3 linked regions of the Ovis aries genome follow. The protein of the gene in region 3 interacts with the protein of the main gene of each other region in a pairwise test. Links are inferred from orthologs where the notes say so. Each region holds a gene or a part of one and is shown on either strand. Other genes may lie near its edges. The genes, in order: TRIB3, CCND3 and ATF5.

Region 1 (5,957 bases), on a different chromosome or scaffold from region 3:
GGGATGCTTCCATTCCTCTGAAAAGGCATGAGATACAAAGGCAGCTGGGTTGTTTGTGACAGGGTCTGTCCCACGTCAGAGGTGCCTGGGCATCAGCACGAGTCGATGCCAACCCCTGCACTGTGGGTGCTCAGTGTAGACACTGACTCATGGGCATGGAAAGTATTGTCAGCTCTGAGCAGGACTTTGTCTCTGTCATTCACTGCTGTGTTCCCAGCATCCAGAACAGGGCTTGGCACAAGGAGCTCCTGAGGAGGACTCAGTGGGGCATGAGCTCATCTGCACAGGTGTGTGTGTCCAGCATGCTCTGCACACACCTCCTTCTCTCTCCCTCCCAGAAGGCACTTAAGGTTTGGCTCAGCTCAAAGAGGCAGAAGAGAGCTTAGAGATACCCCAGACTCAACCCGCTGTCTGCAGCTGAGAGTCCAGTTTGGTGACATCAGCCATAGAGACCCATCTCTCTTTCTCCCTCCTCCTCTGCTTCCTCCAGCCCCGGCCCTTCAGGGACCACCTGGTCAGCCTCACAGTGGCGGGACCGAGGTGGGGCTGCAGGGATGGCATTCTCCCGCAGCCAAGGGTGCAGCAGGATACCCGAGGCCGTGAGCCGCTCAGTTGGCTCCCTTCGGAGGAGACAGCGGACCAGGCAGCGGGCGGGGGCCGAGAGGCCCTCAGGCAGGGCAAAGGCGCCACGGCGGATCTTGCCAAAGAGCAGGGCAGGCTCTGAGTCCTGGAAGGGGTAGCGGCCGGCCAGCATGGTAAAGAGTGCCACACCCAGGCTCCAGACATCTGCCGCCTTGCCTGAGTAGGATGCTCGGGAACTGAGGATCTCAGGGCCTACATAGGCTGGGCATGCGTGTTTGTCCCACAGGGAGTCGTCAGGCCCAGTCAGCACACAGGCATCTTCCAGGTTCTCCAGCACCAGTTTCGTCCTACACGGGCAGAGAGACAGGGAGTCAGCTAGTGGGACACCCCTCCTTCTACCACCCCACATTTCCACCTGAGTGGCACACAGTTCCCCAATACCAGCTGGCATTTGTCAGACATGAGTCAGTCCTGTGAGGCTGGTTGGCTGATCTCATTTTACAGATGAGGAAATCTAGGCTCAGAGAGGTTTATTCATTTCTCAAGGTCACACAGCAATTAAATCTGAACTAGGACTCTGAGAGGAACACATTTTTCCAAATGTCTCTGGGGTCAAATTCAGGTTCTACTTGTTAACTTGCAATTTGGCCTTGAGCGATGGCTTCACTTGCCTGAAACTTGACTTGGGGGCTGGGGAAGTGGGGCTGTGCTGAGGGGCTGAGGGCATTAAAACTCTCTGAAGCCAGATGCAAACTTGGGGTCTAGGCAGGAAACAAAATAAGAAACAGGAAGTGGGGACTGTGCTAACCGTCTCAGCACAAACCTACAGTTAATATTTGGGAGTGTCCACAGCGTACCTCACCCTGAGCTAAGGCTGTATCTATCACACCTCATTTCACCCTCATGCAGCCTGTGAGGAAGATGCCATTTTGCAGCCAAAGGAGCAGGACTGAGACTGAACCTTGGCTCTCTCCTGCCCAGAGCCAGGGCTACAAGCGGCTCATATGGTTCCCAGGGTGCCTCCATGGAACCCCTTTTCCACAAAAGAACCCAGAAATCATATTTTAAAGAAAAAAAAAACAGGTTTTAAAAAGTTGGCAACCAATTTCAATTAAAAACACAAACAAACATGACCCATATTGATGTATGGCAGAAACCAACACCACTGTAATTATCCTTCAACTAAAAAGAAAGAAAGAAAGAAAGAAAAGGAAACAAGCAAAAAACAAAACAAAAAAACCCACAAATGAACAGGTATGGGATGCAAAGGAAAAAAAAAAGTGTGTGTGGACCAACCTTAGCAACTTCTGCTTTAAATAACTCCCACAGAGTGCTCTAGATTACTTTAATAGTAAGCATAGCATTGCCATTGCTACTAATCTTATTCCTGTGGCACTACTTCCTGGGTGCTGGTCTGAAAATGCTGACCAGTCCTGTCAATCACTGCACTGAGGGTGAGCAGAGATGACAGCATTATTGGCCCATTTTACAGATAAAGAAGTCAAGGCTCAGGCAGATGAAGCTATTGCTCAAGGCAAAACTGCAGGTTAAAGAAGTAGAGCCAGAATTTGGCCCCAGGATGATTCCATTATCTATCATTTACTGATGGTGCTTCTCAAACTTTTGCCTTGAAAAGGAAAGAAAGCACTTTTCTCACTTCTGGGAGGTCTGGGGGTGTTGTACTCACCTTAAGCTTGAAATTATTTGAAAAGCTGCATATTAGCTTAAAAATCATTATAAAACTTACATTCTAATTGTTACTCAAAGCATGGTCATTTTAGTATAAAATGTAAAAGGAAATACCATCTTTAAAAGGAAAAACCACCTTCACGGACTTCCCTGGTGGTCTAGTGGCTAAGACTCCACGCTCCCAATGCAGGGGGCCCAGAGTTCAATCCCTAATCAGGGAACTAGATCACACATGTTGCAACTAAGACTCGGTGCAGCCAGATAAATAGTAAAATTTTTAAAAAGAAAAGAAAACCACCCTTAGGCAAATATCATAAGCGTAGCTGCTATAGAATGGATGGCAGGTGAAATTAGTGGGCAAAAGTGTGAGCAGAAACAGGATATTCACACATAAAGCCTTAAAAACCCTCAAGGTTTTTAATAACAATGACAAAAAATTACCCAAGGTACACAAAGGGTAAATTAGGAGCCTTCCAATAGACAACTTGGCAGAAGCCACTGGAACCAAAGACCAAGGTTAACATCTCAGTAGTTCCCCTCAACAGCATGAATCTCCTGATAGAACCGGCTGAGAAGGCCCCATGGCTTCTGTGGTATTCTTGCCAAAAAATGCATCACCTCAATCTAAGCGTGACCAGAACATCAGTCAAGGCCAAACTGAGGGGCCTCCTCGGCCGCCACACTCACCTCTCCCGGTCGGTGAAGACGAAGCGCCGTAGCTTGAGGTCGCGGAGGACCAGCCCGTGCTGGTGGCAGTGCGCCAGGGCGGCGGCCATCTGGCGGAAGAGCGCGGCGGCCTCGGGCTCCGGGAGGCGACGCCGGCGGCGCACCAGGCTGTGCATGTCCCCGTGCGGCCGCGGGAAGAAGGCGTAGAGGTGCTGCGTGCCGGCCAGGACCTCCGCCGGCCGGGCCACGTGGCCGTGATGGGGCAGCCTCCGATAGGGCTCCAGCACCGCCAGGCTCTCGCAGGCCGGGTACACCTGTGGGCAGAGCGTGGTGTGAGCATGGGTGGGGACTCCAGGGGGCAGGCAGCAGGGGCCGGCCTTGCAGCAGGTCACAGCCCATCCCTTAGGCACTACTGTGGGCTGGGCCCTGTGCCCAGCGCTTCCACTGCATGTCACTCAATACTGACCAAGCTGAGGGCTGCCTGACCAGCAAGGAGCAGAGCTAGGATTTAAATCCCTGTTCTCCATCATCTGTGCTCTTAGCTACAAGCTCATGTGCTCTTAAACTTGAGATAATTCAAAAAGATATCAGGTAACCAGAACAAAAGTAACTAAAACAAGAGGAATCTGGAAGAGCAGACAATACAGAAGTAACGTTAAGTCCTCATCATCCATCGTGGCTACCATTCTCTAGCATTCACTTCCCACCCACCCTTTCCTTCATCCCACAAGCAGGCATTGAATGCCCACCTGTGCCTGCCGCTGGGACTATAACTTGACTGACAGCCACAGTCCCTGCCCTCCTGGTGCCCACAGTCCAATACATGAGACAGTTAAACAGGCCAAAAAACTAAATACTTACAAATTCTGATGAGCATTGCAAAGGAATGCTGGAATCAAGAATATTTTGGCAGGAGACACCTATTTTAGAAAGTATAGTCCAGAAGGGACTCTGGGGAAGTGACCTGAGTGACTGAGATGCCCAAGGAGTAAGCTTTCCGGGTGGGAGGCACAGGCAGTGCCAAGGCCCTGAAGTAGGAAAGAAACTGAGCTGCTCCAGAAACCCAGCCAAAGCTCAGTGTGGCTGGAATGTGAAGGAAGGTGGGGCCTGTGGTGAGCATGGTGAAGTTATGGGGAAAGATGCTAGGGGCTTATGGACATTAGATGGAAGCCATTCCATAGTCCTGAAAGGATGTTCAGAGGATGGTGACTTGGAAGCCACATGGCTCATCACTGGCAGAGCAGTCTATGCACTTTGGTTTATCTGCCTTTAAACCCTTTGCTTGTCATTTTGTCTAGGACATATAGCCAATAAAAATAAATAAAGCATATACACATTTAATCCATGAAAAGATGTAAGTACATGTCTTAAAGCAATTGGGGTGGCTTTGAGTAGACAATTCACAGACGGAGACTTTTTTAAAAATCAGAGAGGCAAGCGCATCCCTGCCTCTGAGCATTTACACTTGCTTTTCCTGCTACCTGAGCATTCTCCTCTAGATACCCACAGGGCTGGCTCCCCCAGTTCAAGACACTATTCAAGTCACCTCCTCCAAGGTGGACTTCCCACCTAAGATCACCTGCACCTTCTCCCCTTCCCTCTCCCCTTTCTCCTAGCTCCTAGTTTTTCTCTGTAGCAGTTAAGATCACCTGATACATGTGTTACTTATTCACCTGCAGCATGAACTGTGGTGGCACAGCTTGGCCCACTTTTTAGCCATATGTGGTGCATATTGCATGATGCACGGAGTATACAAGTGCTCACTGAGGGTTTGTTGAATTAATGAATAAGGCGATAGCCTAGAAAGACAGGATGTTGATCTTTCTACATGCCGACCAGAAAAGCCTAGGCAATGTGGAAACAGAAGGTCAGCTCCCACAGTTCACGCTGGGTGTACGGACAGGCACTCCTAGTAGATTGCCCTAAATGTTCCTGGGTATCTGGGGTCATGTGAAAGCTTCTGACTTCAGCTTGCCATGGTCATGCCTTTCAGTATGGACCAGAAAAAACCTGTGATGCTACAGGAAGGGGACCCAGAGTTCATGGGTTCCCTAGAACACCTGGGGTAGACCTCGGAACCTGCATCAAGCGGCCAGAGCCCAGGTAAGCTGGTGTCTGATGTCCAGATGTGGCCCCGCCCACTGCACCCCCATGAGCAGGAACAGGAGCCACTGCTGCTTCTTCCCCTCATCCCCCAGCCAACTGGATGGAGGCGTCAGTCCCCCTGCCTGTCTGTGCCTTCCCAAGGAGTCCTAGCTCCCTTCCGCCCCTCCCTGTGTACCTGGGTCTCCCCTATCCTCCTTACCTCTGCCCGCCAGAGCAAACCTGCCCTGCTTGTATCTGAACCACCTGTCCTAGCATGAGGTCCAAGGCTCTGGGTTGAACCTGCCTTGGCCCAATTTCAGCTCTGACACCTCCTGGCTTTGTGAGGTGGCAAGTAACCCCGGGGCTTCCTGGGTGGCTCAGACAGTAAAGAACCTGCCTGCAATGCAGGAGACCTAGGTTTGATCCCTGGGTTGGGAAGATCCCCTGTAGGAGGGAGTGGCTACCCGCTCCAGTATTCTTGCCTGGAGAATTCCATGGACAGAGGAGCCTGGTGAGTTAGAGTCCAAGAGGTCGAAAAAAGTCAGACACAACTGACTGACTAACACTTTCACTTTCGAGTAACCACAGCTTTCTGAGCCTCAGAACCTGTCCTCTCTCTGTAGAATGGGCCCTATAATAGTAACTATCTCATAGACTGTGTGAATATTAGAGAGGATGCAGACTGCATGATCAATAGAGTACCTCGTGCACAGTAAATACCTACGATTATGCTTTCTCAGGGCCTTCCCCGGTGGCTCAGTGGTAAAGCATCTGCCTGCCAGTGCAGGAAATGCAGGTTTGATCCCTGGGTTGGGAAGATACCCTGAAGAAGGAAATGGCAACCCACTCCAGTATTCTTTCCTGGGAAATCCCACGGACAGAGGAGACTGGCAGGCTACAGTCCATGGGGTTGCAAAAGAATCGGACATGACTTA
Region 2 (6,757 bases), on a different chromosome or scaffold from region 3:
CATGCCCACCAAGTCCACACCTCTTGAAGAAACTGGGGTTAGCGTGAGGCCCTTCCTCCTCTGACACAGCCCCTGAGCCAACCCCAAGGTTCCTCAAAGTGGAGGTTGCCCAACCCAACCCACATCCCCTTGGGGGGACACTGGGGTGGGGGGCTGAAATAGAGCACCCCACTCCACCTCTCTGGCTGAAACCCAGTGCTTAGTGTCTTTGAGTCTCAGGGGGAGAAGTGGAGGTCAAGGCAGACAGGATGGGTCCAGGTGATGATCCCTGAGGGACCAAACCATCTCTCCATCAGTCCCAGCCTCCCTACTACTGCTGGGTCCTGGAAGGAGACTGGGAGCCCCACCCAGTCCACTCCTCTGAGGTTCCCAGCCCTGGCCCTATTTCTGAGTTGCACACAGGAGGATTTCTTCATTGTCTTATCTCAGGAAGGAACTCACGGGTTTGACCCTTCATGGGGTAGAAATGGCAACCCCACCCAATCTCTTTTCGGCCCTCTGTCACAGCTGCCCCTCTCCTGGCCCCCACCTAGGTGTCATGATCTTCAGCCTCTCACAAAGCCTCACAGAAATCAGCCTGGCCTGGAGCCAGAAGAAGTTGAGCAGAGAATTTAGCATTCTACTCCCTGTGCTTATTCCAGGGGTCAAACTCCTAACTCAGAAGTCAACAAAAAGCATCCAGGATCCAAGGAAACATCTGGAAGGCAGCTCGGAGTGGGGACGCATAGGGTCCTGCGTTGGGGGAAGGTGGCCACCTTACCCTCCATCTGGGCAGAGTATCTCCTGAGAATCTCAGTCCTCACATGACAGAGAACACACCCCTAGCAGCTTCCATCAAAACCCTAACCTCTGAGGCCACCTGAGGCCTCAAACACACCCTCCGTGCAGCACCAAGCCAGGACCCTTCCTTCCTCCTCTGGGCCCCCACCTTCTTTGCGGCACAAGGATTATTTGGACTGACCGGAGCTCTCTGATGTCCCTTCCAACTCTGACCTTCTAGGAAGTCATCGATCGGCACGCTCCACCCCCAGCTCAGGCAGGGGGAGTGGGAGGAGAGGACTTTTGGCCTGTTCTGAAAAACTGCCCTCACATAAAGGCACACATCCCATGCTCATCTTTTCACAAAAATGAAGTCCCCTTCCACCAGCCCAAACTCCTTCAGAAACATCTTGCTCTCTAGCCCTGGAAACCAGCTCCACCTTCAGACTTGCCCCAAACTACCAGATTCATCACAAAGAGCTGTGGAGCCTCCCAGATTCCCAGCTCTGGCCTCCTACTCCCATATCCGAGAGCTACTTGGCAGGAAGAGGAATCCCGTTCCCCGACAAGCAGCACTCAGGGGCCCCAGTACCCTGGCTTTCCTGGCCAGCCAATCACAGCAGCCAGCACGCTGCCCTCCTCCCCGGGAGATGGGGCCCAGAGACGCCTCTCGGGTCAAGAGAAGACTCGACTGCTGTAGAGCAAGATGGAGGAAGGTGCCAGCTCACCCCTCTCCCCTGGGTCCCCCGAGAGATGATCTGCACGCTCCCAAATAACCTCTTCCAAATCCAAGCAACTCCCCACCTCCTCTCCAGGCTCAATGGGGAAAGAGAACCATGACTCCCCTGCCCTGCCTCGGGAAGAGCCCAGCCCAAGTTCCCAGCAAGAGGCCCAGGGAGCCACTTCCCAAACCACAGGAGTGACAGCAGCTCCCCACAGGGTTATGAAAGACCTTGGTCAGGGTGGGTGGGCCAGGGGAGAGGGCATCATTATCACATCGGAAGCAGCTGCAGTTCAGCCCCAGTCTGTGCCTCAGCACTTGCCTTTGGCTAAAGGGGAAAAGATGATTCCACCAGGCCTGAAGCAGCTGCTTCTGAGAGCAATTTCTCAGGGTGAGACTAGGGAATGGAGAATGAGGGAAGGAGCTGGTTCTCCTGGGATATAAAAGGAAGGAAGGAAGCAAAGTGGGATGGAACTCCTCGGCCCTTCCTTACAGCAGCTGGGGCCTGGCTTTAATCAGCTCTGGGAGACTTTTTGATCACAAAGTCCACACACTGGGAGACAAGATTCAACCCGGGCGGCCCCTTCCCCCACGTGAAGCACGTTCCACTCCCCCACTCCAGTGGGGGTGCACAGGCATGCCCTGCTGCTGCCAATAAATAACTCCTGGTGGCTGTGTAAACCCAGAGGCAAAGTTCTGGTGAGTGTAGACATGCAGTTTGACTTGTTGCTATCTGGGGGAAAGACCATGAAGGAGTGGCACCCCCTGGAGGTCAAGACAGGGGATCTGGTTCATGCTGGGAGTGCAAGCCTGAACTGGGGCCACCCTGACCATCACACCACACTGTCCCATCTTTTGTCAAAAGAAAAAGAAAAAAAGCTGCTACCCTGCACAGGGGCAGAAAGCCTCCCGAGGTCTCAGCTTCCCCCATCCTGGTACGTTAGGAAGGAGGCAGGGGGTGCTGGCAGGTGGGGAGGGTATGCACGCACCCGCAGCTGGCGCGGGGAGACAGAATGGTCGGTGTAGATGCACAGCTTCTCGATGGTCAGGGGCGTTGTCTCGCGCAGCTTGGAGGCCAGCAGCATGCAGACCGCACCCAGGAGCTGCAACTGCGCCTTTCGGGTGGGGACGCAGGACAGGTAGCGATCCAGGTAGTTCATGGCCAGGGGGAAGACTTCCTCTTCACAGCGCTGCTCCTCACACACCTGGGGGAGGGCGCACAGTCACTTCGGGGGCAGAGGCTTAGGAAACGCAGCAGCAACTAAAGGCGAGGGGTGCGGTGCGCTGAAGGGAAGTGGAATGGGGAGCAAGACACGGGAGGGGGTAGGTGTACTCACAGTGACAAGGACTAACACGCAGGATGCGCCTTCCCCAAGGTGACACCCTCCCACTTCCTCTGCGGTGCCTCCTTTCCCCGGGGGTGGGAGTGGGGGGGGGGGGCGGAGCGGGATACGCCAGAGGCTCCCTTCCTTCAGGAATCCAAACTGAGGCTGATCTGCACCCCCCGTACCAAGGGAGAGGGGTTCGGAAGAGTCACCCATAGAAGCCAGAGAACTGGGACCTTACCCCCATTACTGCCACCCAGTGCACACACCCAAAAGGAAGGGAGGAGACTCCAGCGGCTGCCTCCCGCACTTTCCATTTCCCTGACGGCCGGAACAGCGCGCCACCCCCACCGGCTTCCCCGCCAGAACCCCCGCGACACACACAAGGAACCAGCTCTGCGGCGGGGGCGGCCGAGCCCAGGGTTTTCCAGGCGCGCTCTCCAGAGAAGACCGGGCGTGCGGTGGGGGCGGGGGGAGGCTTTTGAGAGAAGTCAGAGGGGAGAGGGTGGCCCTCGCCCCGCTTTCCCCGCCCGAAGACAGGGTTATTTGGGGGTGCCAAATGCCTGGCGGTCAGGGTCAGAGAAGGGCAAGAAAAAGACAGCACCGAGGCAGCCGGCTAAGGGCGCGCGAGTGAAAAGTCCAGGCCCCGGGGATCTGCGCCACAGAAACATCTTGCTGATTGTTGCTGAGGACCAGGATGTCCCGACAGGGCGGCCCCGGGATGTCCGGAGCCCGGGACGCGGGGGTGACGGGGGAGGGGAGACCCGCCCAGGCGGTACCTCCAGCATCCAGTACGCCAGCATCTTCCGCATGTGCGGCTTGATCTCCCTCTGCACACACTGGAAGTAAGAGGCGCGGGGCACGTAGCGCTCCTCCAGGCGGAGCAAGCTCTGCAGGACACGCTGGTCCCCTAGCAGCCGCGGGTCCGGCCCGGCCCGGGGCGCGTGCCGAGTGCCCTCGCAGCACAGCAGCTCCATCCTCGGGCAGCGCGCGGGCAGGGCGGGAGTGCGGGCTCGGGAGCCAGAACGCAGGCGGCGGGCCGGAGAGCGCGGGGCGCGGGACTGTGGCGCTGTCGCTGGCACTGCGCGGCCGAGCCTCAGCCCGCCCCCGCCGCCGCGCGCGCGCCGCTTCCCTGACAGGCGCCCCGCCCCTCGAGACCGAGTAGCAACCGTGGAATGCTCAGACGTCGCGACGCTCCGGGGGCGGGGCCTCCGGCGCCCGGACGGAAAGGGCTGGCGGGCGCTCCCCCTCCCCCGGGCGACCGCATTGGTCGGCTGGGCGCGGGCCGCCGGCTTCCGGGCGCTCCGGATCCTTTTGACCACCCGGTGCTAGAGGAGTGTGCTTTGGAGGTGGGCCTCTCCTCGCCCCCCGCCCCCACCTCCGAGCCCTTCCATTTTTGCATCTCCCGACTCCAGGCGCCCCGAAAGGTTATTCATTCATTCGTCAAACTCTACTTCACCCGCTGCTTGCTCTAGGAAAAGTAAATAATAATAAAATAGCTAGATCTTAGGGGAGACTGGTCTGAGCACTTATTAAAATCTTAATGAAGAAGCTGTGGGTTAGGTCTTATACTGATTTTGCAGTTGAGGAAACTGAAGCAGTAACTATAATAATAGTTCGTCTGCGGCAGAGCTAGGATTGGGAAGCCGACGGTCTGCCCCCAGAATCTCTGCTCTACCCCGTGGCTACTTAAACTGATCCCCGAACCAGCCTGAGAGCGGGTCAGAAAAGCAGAACCTCAGGCCCATCCCCTGACCTACTGGATCAAAATCTGCCTTTAACCAGATCCCTGGTGATTCCTGTACACACTAAAGTGTGAGAAGAGACAGTCCTAAATCCGCACGCTTGAGAACTACAACAGGGCGGAAGGGTCATGGATTCAAGGCCTCACCTTGTCTGTCATTAAGTTGGGTGTGTGGCCTTGGACAAACCCTGACGTTGGCCTTAGTTTCCGTTTGAGGAAATGATGGGCGGAGAAACTGCCTCCTTTCTAGAGGAGTTTCTTGCTCAGATTGTATAAAATCTTTCAGGCGCCACTTTTACCTCCCAAGCTTTGGGACTTTGCAGCGTTTCCAGAGCTGGATTCCGCGTGACCAGGAGGCAAACACACCACAAGCCTCCAGTAATGCTCCAAATGGCAGGAGGCCATGGGGATCCCTGCCTTTCCTGGGGTCCTCCAAGGAGGTGAGACACTAAGGAAGTTAATTACTAGAGAAATGACACTCTATAGAAAGAGGTCAGTCCTGCGCTAAGCATTATCCCAGTGAATTGTTCTTTTTTATACAATAAATTTTTTGCTGTTTGCATATCACGGAAATATTCAATGCATTGTAGAAGACAGAAAATACCAATGTCACACAAAAAAGTAAAGAGTAAGTACTGGCAGTTTCACCATCCAGATTGTTGTCCTTCAGTCACTAAGTCATATCCAACTCTTTGAGACCCCATGGACTGCAGCATGCCAGGCTTCCCTGTCCTTCACCATCTCCCAGAGCTTGCTCAAACTCATGTCCATTGAGTCAGTGATGCCATCCAACCATCTCATCCTCTGTTGTCCCCTTCTCCTCCAGCCCTTAGTCTTTCCCAGCATCAGGGCCTTTTCCAATGAGTTGGCGCATTGCATCAGTTGGCCAGATAACCCTTTAAAATGACAATGTTTATTTTTCTAAAATTGTTCTATGAATAAACATATTTTTAAGAATGACATCATTGCGAACTATTTTGTAAACTTTTTTTTTTTCACGAAAAAGTATACTGTCAGCACTTTTCCATCTCATTAAATATTCTATAACTTTTTAAATAACTACCTAGTAAACCATTGAGTGAATATATCGTAATGTATTTCACCAAAGCTGTATTATTGGAAATCTAGGTAGTTTCTAGTTCCTCCCTATTAGAAATAATACTGTAAAATATTTTTGTGGTAATATTTTTGTGCACACTCATGATTATTTCTAGAAGTGAATTAATTTCTAGAAGTGAAATTTCTCAATCTGAAGTTATGAAACATTCTAAGGCTTTTGATACAGTTCTTATTACCAAATTTCCCTGCTGAAAGGCTGAACCAAACTAATGAACAAACATTAGATATCTACTTAAAAAAAAAAACAACTACCAACTGGCGAGATGAAAAGTGGTTTATTAGTAATGTGTATAAATTTTTAAATTCAAGAGTTCTTGTTGTATCAGTGTGAATGTGGGCTGTGTACCTTCTCTGATCTTGTAAGTCTTCTATTCCTGTCTTCAAAAATACAAGCAAGAAGTTTCTTGAGCTAACTAATCATTGCATTGCACGCTTTTGTTAAAGAGAACAGTGTATTTAAAATTATAAAAATTAGATATGACGTTAAGGGGAGGCAAACATGTTGAAGCGTACAGGGCTTTTAGGGTGCAGAAGGGCTAAAAATGTAGCTTTTGAAGTTAGTACATAACCAAAAACCAGTTCTGTCCTGGATGTTTTTTTACTTTCAGAATTATTGAGTAGGACTGTTCTGTTAAGATGGTGCATCTTTGATGAGAGAGTAAATCATTTTTTTTCTCCATAAGTATACTATTATTTCCCTCCATTTTACAGAAAGGGAAACCAGTACTTTAAAGTGGCTAAATAATTTGCCCAAGGTCACAAAGCTAAAGTGGTCGAGGCTAGATACAATCTAGTGAGTCTGGCTGGAGAATCCATGCTCTTAACTACTTCATTCCGCTACCTCTTGTGCTGATCTATGAGTGCAAATTGATTTATTAGTTGTTGGTTTAGTGAGGAAGGCGGACAGAAACTACCCAGTCCTGGAAGCTTGGGAGTGAGCCTACATCCTGGGGAAGGGGGATCCTGGTAAGCCGGGCATTTTGAAGGATACCTCTGCCTCGCCCTTGACTAGGACTGACATGCCCAGAGCAGAGTCATCCAGGACCTCTGGCCAAGGTCAGCTACAAGCTGGCTGGCTGTCCTCCATGG
Region 3 (6,757 bases):
CCCAATCTATGCTGCTGCTGCTGCTAAGTCGCTTCAGTCGTGTCCCACTCTGTGCGACGGTACGGACAGCAGCCCACCAAGCTCCTCCATCCACAGGATTCTCTAGGCAAGAATACTGGAGTGGGTGGCCATTTCCTTCTCCAAGTCCCAGTCTATGAGACAAAACCAAAGAGGAACAGTTCACAGAATACCTAACCTGCACTCTTCAAAAATATCAAAGTCACAGGTGACAAAAGTCTGAAAAGCCTCCACAGACCAGAGGTTGCTGAGGAGACATGAAAACTAAGTGTAACCCGGCTTCCTGGGGGGAAGATAGGGTGGGCGAGGGGGTAGGTCACAGAAACAGACTGACATTGCCTCCCGAGTTGTGACAAACACCAGTATAATACAAGATGCCCACGGGAAGCAGGGAGGCTGTGTGAGGGGTTCCCCGGGAACTCTCTGTATTGTCTTTGCAGCTTTGTAGTCAATCTAGTTATTCCAAAACAAAAAGTTAAAGAAAAATACTCTACCTAGTCCACCAGTTATAATCTAGAAGACTGGGGGATGACTGTGCCCCCACTGCCAGCAGCCTGTCCAATGGTCCCCCCTAATCCCACACGCTAGTACTCAACACTGAGGAGTGGCAGTCAGTCCTTACTTTAAAGACCTTTAGAAGCACTACTGCTGGGCACTAGAGATAAACCATATCCACCTTAATAGTAACAATGAATCCCTTATGTAACACCTTACTCTGTGCCAGGCACTAGTCCAAGGGCACCTGACCTGGATCAATTCATTTAATCCTCAATACTAAAAAATAGGTACTGTCAATGGCCACATACATTGGCCATCAGCATGTTTCTACTAACTCAACTCCATATTTGATTCTAGAACTATTAAGGAAAGCAAGGCACTTGGAAGGGAAATTGCCAGTAAGCTAGTTAAGTGGGGTGTAGTCAGGGGTTGAATCCAACAACTTGGCTCCAGAGTCTGTGCTCTTAACCGTTACTCTGTTGCCTCAGTAAAAAACAGCCCCTATAGGGCAAGAGCTCAAATACTGGCAGAGTGGATAAAGTGAAGGGAATGTGGTCAGATCCCAAGAAGGACTTCCAGTATGCAAGAGTAGCCTGTATTAGGGATGCAATATACAATAAACCTCATTAATACCACCATATGTTGTGTATGAAAGCTGTTACAAGAGTAAATCCTAAGAGTTCTCATCACAAGGAAAACAGGATGTATTTCTTTCTATTTCTTCAGCTTTCTATCTGTAGGAGATAATGTTCACTACACTTACTAATCAATTTATGAGGTATGTTCAATCAAATCACTATGCTGTACGCCTTAAGCTTACCCAGTGCTACATGTCAATCATAGCCCAATAAATCTGGAAGGAAAAAAAAAAAAAGAGCATCTGAACTTAGAGGAAGAAAAAAAAGCCTGTCTTCATTCTCAGATAACTCTGAAGATCAAGGTCCCTTGTCTTCTCAGGATCTTGATTCAGTCTCATAAGCACCAGGAAAAGCTCAACTCCAGGTGTAATGTCCTGCTGTGGACGAACGGAGGATGGGTTTCTGCAGCACAGGAAAGACCCACAACCACTTGGGCTGGGAGGGTCCAGCCTACCGGGAGGGGATGGTTAGGAAGTCCCATCTCTTTGAGCAATGGATTACAGATCTTCCTATTTCTGGCAGACCTGCACGATTGATGGTGGGGTCGGGGGAGCTGAGGTAGAGGACAGTCTGAAAGGGAGCTTAGGTGGAGGGTATGGACAAAAGAAGGAACCAACTGACCTGAAAGGAATGCTGAGGATAAGCGTTGAGGGTAGGTGGGCAGGAGACAGAGAAAAGATAACAAGCCTGAGGGTGATAACTGACTCGCTGCACCAAGATGGGGCCGAGCGTCCATGTTATGAATGGGAAAGGGGGGGGATGGCTGGGAATTACCTTGGAGGAGGTAAAAGAGACACAAGGATGACCTTTTAGCAAGTGTTGGATGGTCTAGCGTCTGGGGTTCCTGCCAGGGGGGTCGGAAGGGGTGACACCGAGCCCCAGGGTTCCTTCCTACTCACAGTAAGAGGTTGAGAGAGCATGTACGAAGTGGGATCTCAGTTTCACAGGCAACGACTCATTTGATTCTGACAAATGACCCCACCAGGTACAACTGATTATTCTCCGCGTTTTACAGATAGTCTCCTGTCTAGGCTGCTAGAGAATTCAGGTCTTTTGCCCAAGGCCACCTTCGCCGGCCTGGGATTTGACTGGAGCGCGCTCTGTGACTCACGCCAGGTTCTAAGCCACAGGAAAGGTTCTCAGAGTGGGACGGCAGTTGAAGGATGAGGAGAGTAGCATGTGGCTGGCCGGAAATTCGCGAAGCAGGGGAAAGCAAAGGAGAAATGAACCGGCCGGAGTCTCGGGGAAGACGGATTATCGAGTCACCAGAATCAGAGGGAGCAGAGGGCCGGAACCCAGAGTCAGAGAGAAGGGAGGGTCGGAACCCCCGGAGTCGGGAGAAAAGCGGGGCTAGATCCACGAGTAAGAGGAAGGAGAGGCCTGGACCCCCGGGATCGAAAGCCGGGATCAGATCCCCGAGGGCAGGGGTGCAGGCCCGCCTCCGCGTTGGGGCCACGTGGGGCGGGGCGCGGAAGGATCCGCGCAGGCCGTGCTGCGCCGCCCGCGGTATATCTGTGTCCAGTCCCCGGGGCCACCTCATTCCCCATCCTCAGATCACGGTCTCTCCTCACTCTACCGCCACGCCGCCTCTGCCCGCATACCCCCGGCCATGGCTCTGTAGCCGCGACCCCTCTGTGCCCCCGGCCAGTCTCCGCGCTCACCGCGCCTGCGCTCTCCGCTCCTGCCGTCTCCCTTCAGCCGAGGCCGCCGCCGCCTCTCCTTTGCGCAGCCATGGAGTGAGTAACCGCTCGCCCCTCCCTCTCCAACCGCCTTTCCCGCCCTTTCGAAGCTCGCGGCCCTCGCGACCGAGCCCGGGGGGGTGGGGAGACTGAGGAATCACGGTCGCGCAGGCGCAGAAGAGGGAAGACGAGCGTTCTCGCGCGACGGAGCATGCGCACTCGGGCGGGTGCGTTCTTCCGGACAATTGGTGTTTAAAGAGGATAGCCACGTGCGTGTGCGCCTGCGCACTAGTTCCCAGACGCGGTGGCTTCCCCACACCCCCGCCCTGACTGTCTGCGAGCAATTGCTCATGCGCAGCTGCCCACCTGAGGCTGTATTTTTTGCTCTAAGGGCGGGCATTAAGCAGCAGCACATGCTCACTGGCCCCCAGGAGGGCGGTGGCTACGGCACCGCTCGGGAGATGGCGCATGCGCTGTAGCCTTCAACGAGAGAGCCGCCTCCCACTTTGCTCAGGCGCCGAGCTTATCTTCCCTCCCTTTCATTCAGGCGCCTGCTGGGGCGGGGACTGGTTTAGATTGACAGGGGAGAAGGCGGGGATTAGAAACGACCTGTAGAGGGGAAGGAGCTAGGATAAGAGGCGTCTCCGAGGACGGGGTTGGGGGCGGGGTTACCCATTGTGGAAGGGGCGGGGCTGACGAAACCTTTTGCTGAGGGAGGTGGGGTTTCTGCCTGAGAAAGAGGCGGGGCCTCTGGGGAATCATCGGGGAGGGGTGGAGCTAAAATGTACCGTGGGGGCGGGACTTTGAGAGAGAGTGGCGATCAGCCCCAAAATTTAAAGGGAGAACTGCGATTTGAACGGATAACTTTGACGACCGGGCGGGAAAAGGGGGAATTCCCATGGGAACAGATTTGAGTTGGAATCTAGGGAGGGTGTGGGGCCTAAAAGCTATATTTTAGAGGAAGAGATGTAACTGGAAGAAAATTCCCCAGGGATTGAGTGTGGGTTGTTTTTTTTTTTTTTTTTTTTTAAATGAAAGGGAATATTTGGGGTGAGTGGGAAGGACTTTAAGGAAATTCCCCTGGGAGACCATTAGGTTTCTGTTTTGGAAGGATTGGGTCTTGGGAATTCTGAGAAATAAGCCAAATGTAAAGAGAATTCCCTTGGGAGTGGGTGGGGCTCAGATACAGGAAAAGGACAGGTTTAGAATTCTGAAAGGATGAGGAGTCCTGGGACTCTGGGGAGGTGGCTTGATTTCCCTGTGGCTTTGGCAATAGTAGGTGAGGCTGATCCTGACCCACTCACATTTTTGTCACACTTGTAGGTCCTCCATTTTTGCCTTAGTGCCTGTCTTCGCCCAGCTGAGCAACCTCCAGAGCCTCCTCCCAGCTGTTGGTGCAGCCTCTTCCATTGCCATCGGTGCCCAGCGCCCCTGCTGCAGCCATGTCACTCCTGGCGACCCTGGGGCTGGAGCTGGACAGGACCCTGCTCCCAGCTAGCGGGCTGGGCTGGCTCGTAGACTATGGGAAACTCCCCCTGGCCCCTGCCCCCCTGGGCCCCTATGAGGTCCTTGGGGGAGCCCTGGAGGGCGGGCTTCCAGGGGGGGGAGAGCCCCTGGCAGGTAAGAGTAGGTGAAGAATGGAGGTGGGGTGAGCTGGGGGGAGAGGGAGAAGAAAGAATTCATTCATCTGATAAATATTTTTTAATGAGTACCTGTAATAGGGCTTCCCCAATGGCTCAGCAGGTCAAGAATCCACCTGCAATTCGAGGGACACAGGAGACATAGGTTCAATCCCTGGGTTGGGAAAAAAGCCTGGAGGAGGAAGTGGCAACCCACTCCAGCCTGGAGAATCCCATGGATAGAGGAGCCTGGTAGGCTACAGTATATGGGGTCACAAAAAGTTGGACATGGCTTGAAAAGTTGAACAACTAAGTAACGACAACAGCATAATATGTCAGGCACTGTTTTAGGGGATACAGCTGGGAACAAGACTGACATGATCCTTGCCTCCTTGGAGCTCACACTCTACTGGGAAGACATGCAGGAGACAAATTAAATGATGTATGGGAATAAGTGGGAAACACTTAGCTGAGTTTAAAAATGGCAATGAGAAAAAAAAATAAAAATGACAACGAGGACACGTTTGGCGGGGGGAGCCAAGAAACCCTCTCCAAGCCAGTAACATTTTGGCTGAGACCTAAGGAATGATAAGGAACAACCCATAAAAAGACCCAAAGGAAGAGCTTTTCAGGTGCAGGAAACAGCACAGGCAGAGCCCCTGAAGCAGGAAGTATTTTATTCATTGCGTGCTTGGGTGCTAAGTCGCCAGATCGTGGCTATGGACTCTAGCCCACCAGGCTCCTCTCTCTGTGCATGGTATTCTCCAGGCGAGAATACGAGTGGGTTGCCATGCCCTCCTCCAGGAGATACTCATGACCCAGGGATCAAACTTGCATCTCTTACATTTCCTGCATTGGCAGGTGGGTTCTTAACTTCTAGCACCACCTGGGAAGCCCATTTTATTCACTGGTGGTGATTTAGTCGCTAAGTTGTGTCTGACTCTTGCGACCGCATGAACTGTAGCCCACCAGGCTCCTCTGTCCATTGGATTTTCCAGGCAAGAATACTGGAGCAGGTTGCCATTTCCTCCTCCAGGGGATCTTCCCGACCCAGGAATGAAACCTGGGTCTCCTGCATTGCAGGCAGATTCTTTACCAACTGAGCTATGAGGGAAGTGTATCCCAAATGCTTGGCACATAGTGGGGTTTCAATAATTAAAGATGAAACAGGGTGTGTTTACATGTGATCTAGTTTGCCATTTATAATAAACTAGAGAGTAAATCAAGAAACCAGAGATGCAGGGTAATCAGTAAGGAGGATGTTGGAACAGTTGAAGAAATGGCTGGTTGACTGTTTTCTCATTTGGGTCATTGATGGTTGGTTAACGGGTTGGTTAGATGTTTGGTTTATTGGTTGGTTGGTTGGCTGGTCTGTTGACTGGTTTGATGATTTGTTGATTGGTTGGTTGGCTGGCTGGTGGTTTAACTCAATGAATGTGATGAATGAGGTGGGCATGAGTGAGATCTGGTTGGGTGGAGGATTAGGAAATCAAGGAGCTTTCTGTCCTGCAATCCTCCAGGAGACGGCTTCTCTGACTGGATGACCGAACGGGTCGACTTTACAGCCCTGCTCCCTCTGGAGCCCCCCTTGCCCTCAGGTGCCCTCCCCCCACCTTCCCCACCCCCACCTGACCTGGAAGCTATGGCCTCCCTGCTCAAGAAGGAGCTGGAGCAGATGGAAGACTACTTCCTCGATGCCCCTCTGCTCCCACCATCCTCCCCACCTCTGCCGCCACTGCCGCCGCCGCCGCCGCCGCCGGCACCGGCATGTTCCCTCCCTCTCCCCCTCCCCCTGCCCACCTTTGACCTCCCCCAGCCCCCTTCCCTGGACACCCTCGACTTGCTGGCCATCTACTGCCGCAGTGAGGCTGGGCAGGGGGACTCGGGATTGGCGCCCCCGCCCCAACCTCCGCAAGCCCCGCCCCCACCCCGCCCCGCCCCCTACCCAAGTCCTGCTGCCAGCCGAGGGGACCGCAAGCAGAAGAAGCGAGACCAGAACAAGTCCGCGGCTCTGAGGTACCGCCAGAGGAAGCGTGCAGAGGGCGAGGCCCTGGAGGGCGAGTGCCAGGGGCTGGAGGCGCGGAACCGGGAGTTGAGGGAGAGGGCGGAGTCGGTGGAGCGGGAGATCCAGTACGTCAAGGATCTGCTCATCGAAGTGTACAAGGCTCGCAGCCAGAGGACCAGAAACAGCTAGCCCGGCGAGGGCTTCGGGCTGTAGGGGGCGCTGGTCTTCGGCTCCGGGGCGGAGGGGGGAGGGTCCCCAATCCTCCTCCTGCCTCCAGCTTCCTTCCAAACCCTCCCTCCC

The links.
Region 1: the proteins of ATF5 (region 3) and TRIB3 interact in a two-hybrid assay, tested with the Homo sapiens proteins (2 studies listed by BioGRID and IntAct). The link is inferred for Ovis aries from reciprocal best matches to the Homo sapiens genes ATF5 and TRIB3.
Region 2: the proteins of ATF5 (region 3) and CCND3 interact in a two-hybrid assay, tested with the Homo sapiens proteins (2 studies listed by BioGRID and IntAct). The link is inferred for Ovis aries from reciprocal best matches to the Homo sapiens genes ATF5 and CCND3.

Annotation. Positions count from the first base shown.
Region 1 is NC_056066.1:60,299,331-60,305,287, forward strand, and holds part of TRIB3 (tribbles homolog 3), read right to left. Parts: intron 3,252-5,957; coding exon 2,959-3,251; intron 930-2,958; coding exon 440-929; 3' UTR 1-439. UniProt on the Homo sapiens protein: Inactive protein kinase which acts as a regulator of the integrated stress response (ISR), a process for adaptation to various stress. Inhibits the transcriptional activity of DDIT3/CHOP and is involved in DDIT3/CHOP-dependent cell death during ER stress.
Region 2 is NC_056073.1:15,736,049-15,742,805, forward strand, and holds the start of CCND3 (G1/S-specific cyclin-D3), read right to left. Parts: upstream 3,783-6,757; coding exon 3,585-3,782; intron 2,686-3,584; coding exon 2,470-2,685; intron 1-2,469. UniProt on the Homo sapiens protein: Regulatory component of the cyclin D3-CDK4 (DC) complex that phosphorylates and inhibits members of the retinoblastoma (RB) protein family including RB1 and regulates the cell-cycle during G(1)/S transition.
Region 3 is NC_056067.1:55,999,436-56,006,192, forward strand, and holds the start of ATF5 (cyclic AMP-dependent transcription factor ATF-5), read left to right. Parts: upstream 1-2,692; 5' UTR 2,693-2,890; exon of another isoform or gene 2,891-2,896; intron 2,897-4,156; 5' UTR 4,157-4,275; coding exon 4,276-4,453; intron 4,454-5,972; coding exon 5,973-6,646; 3' UTR 6,647-6,757.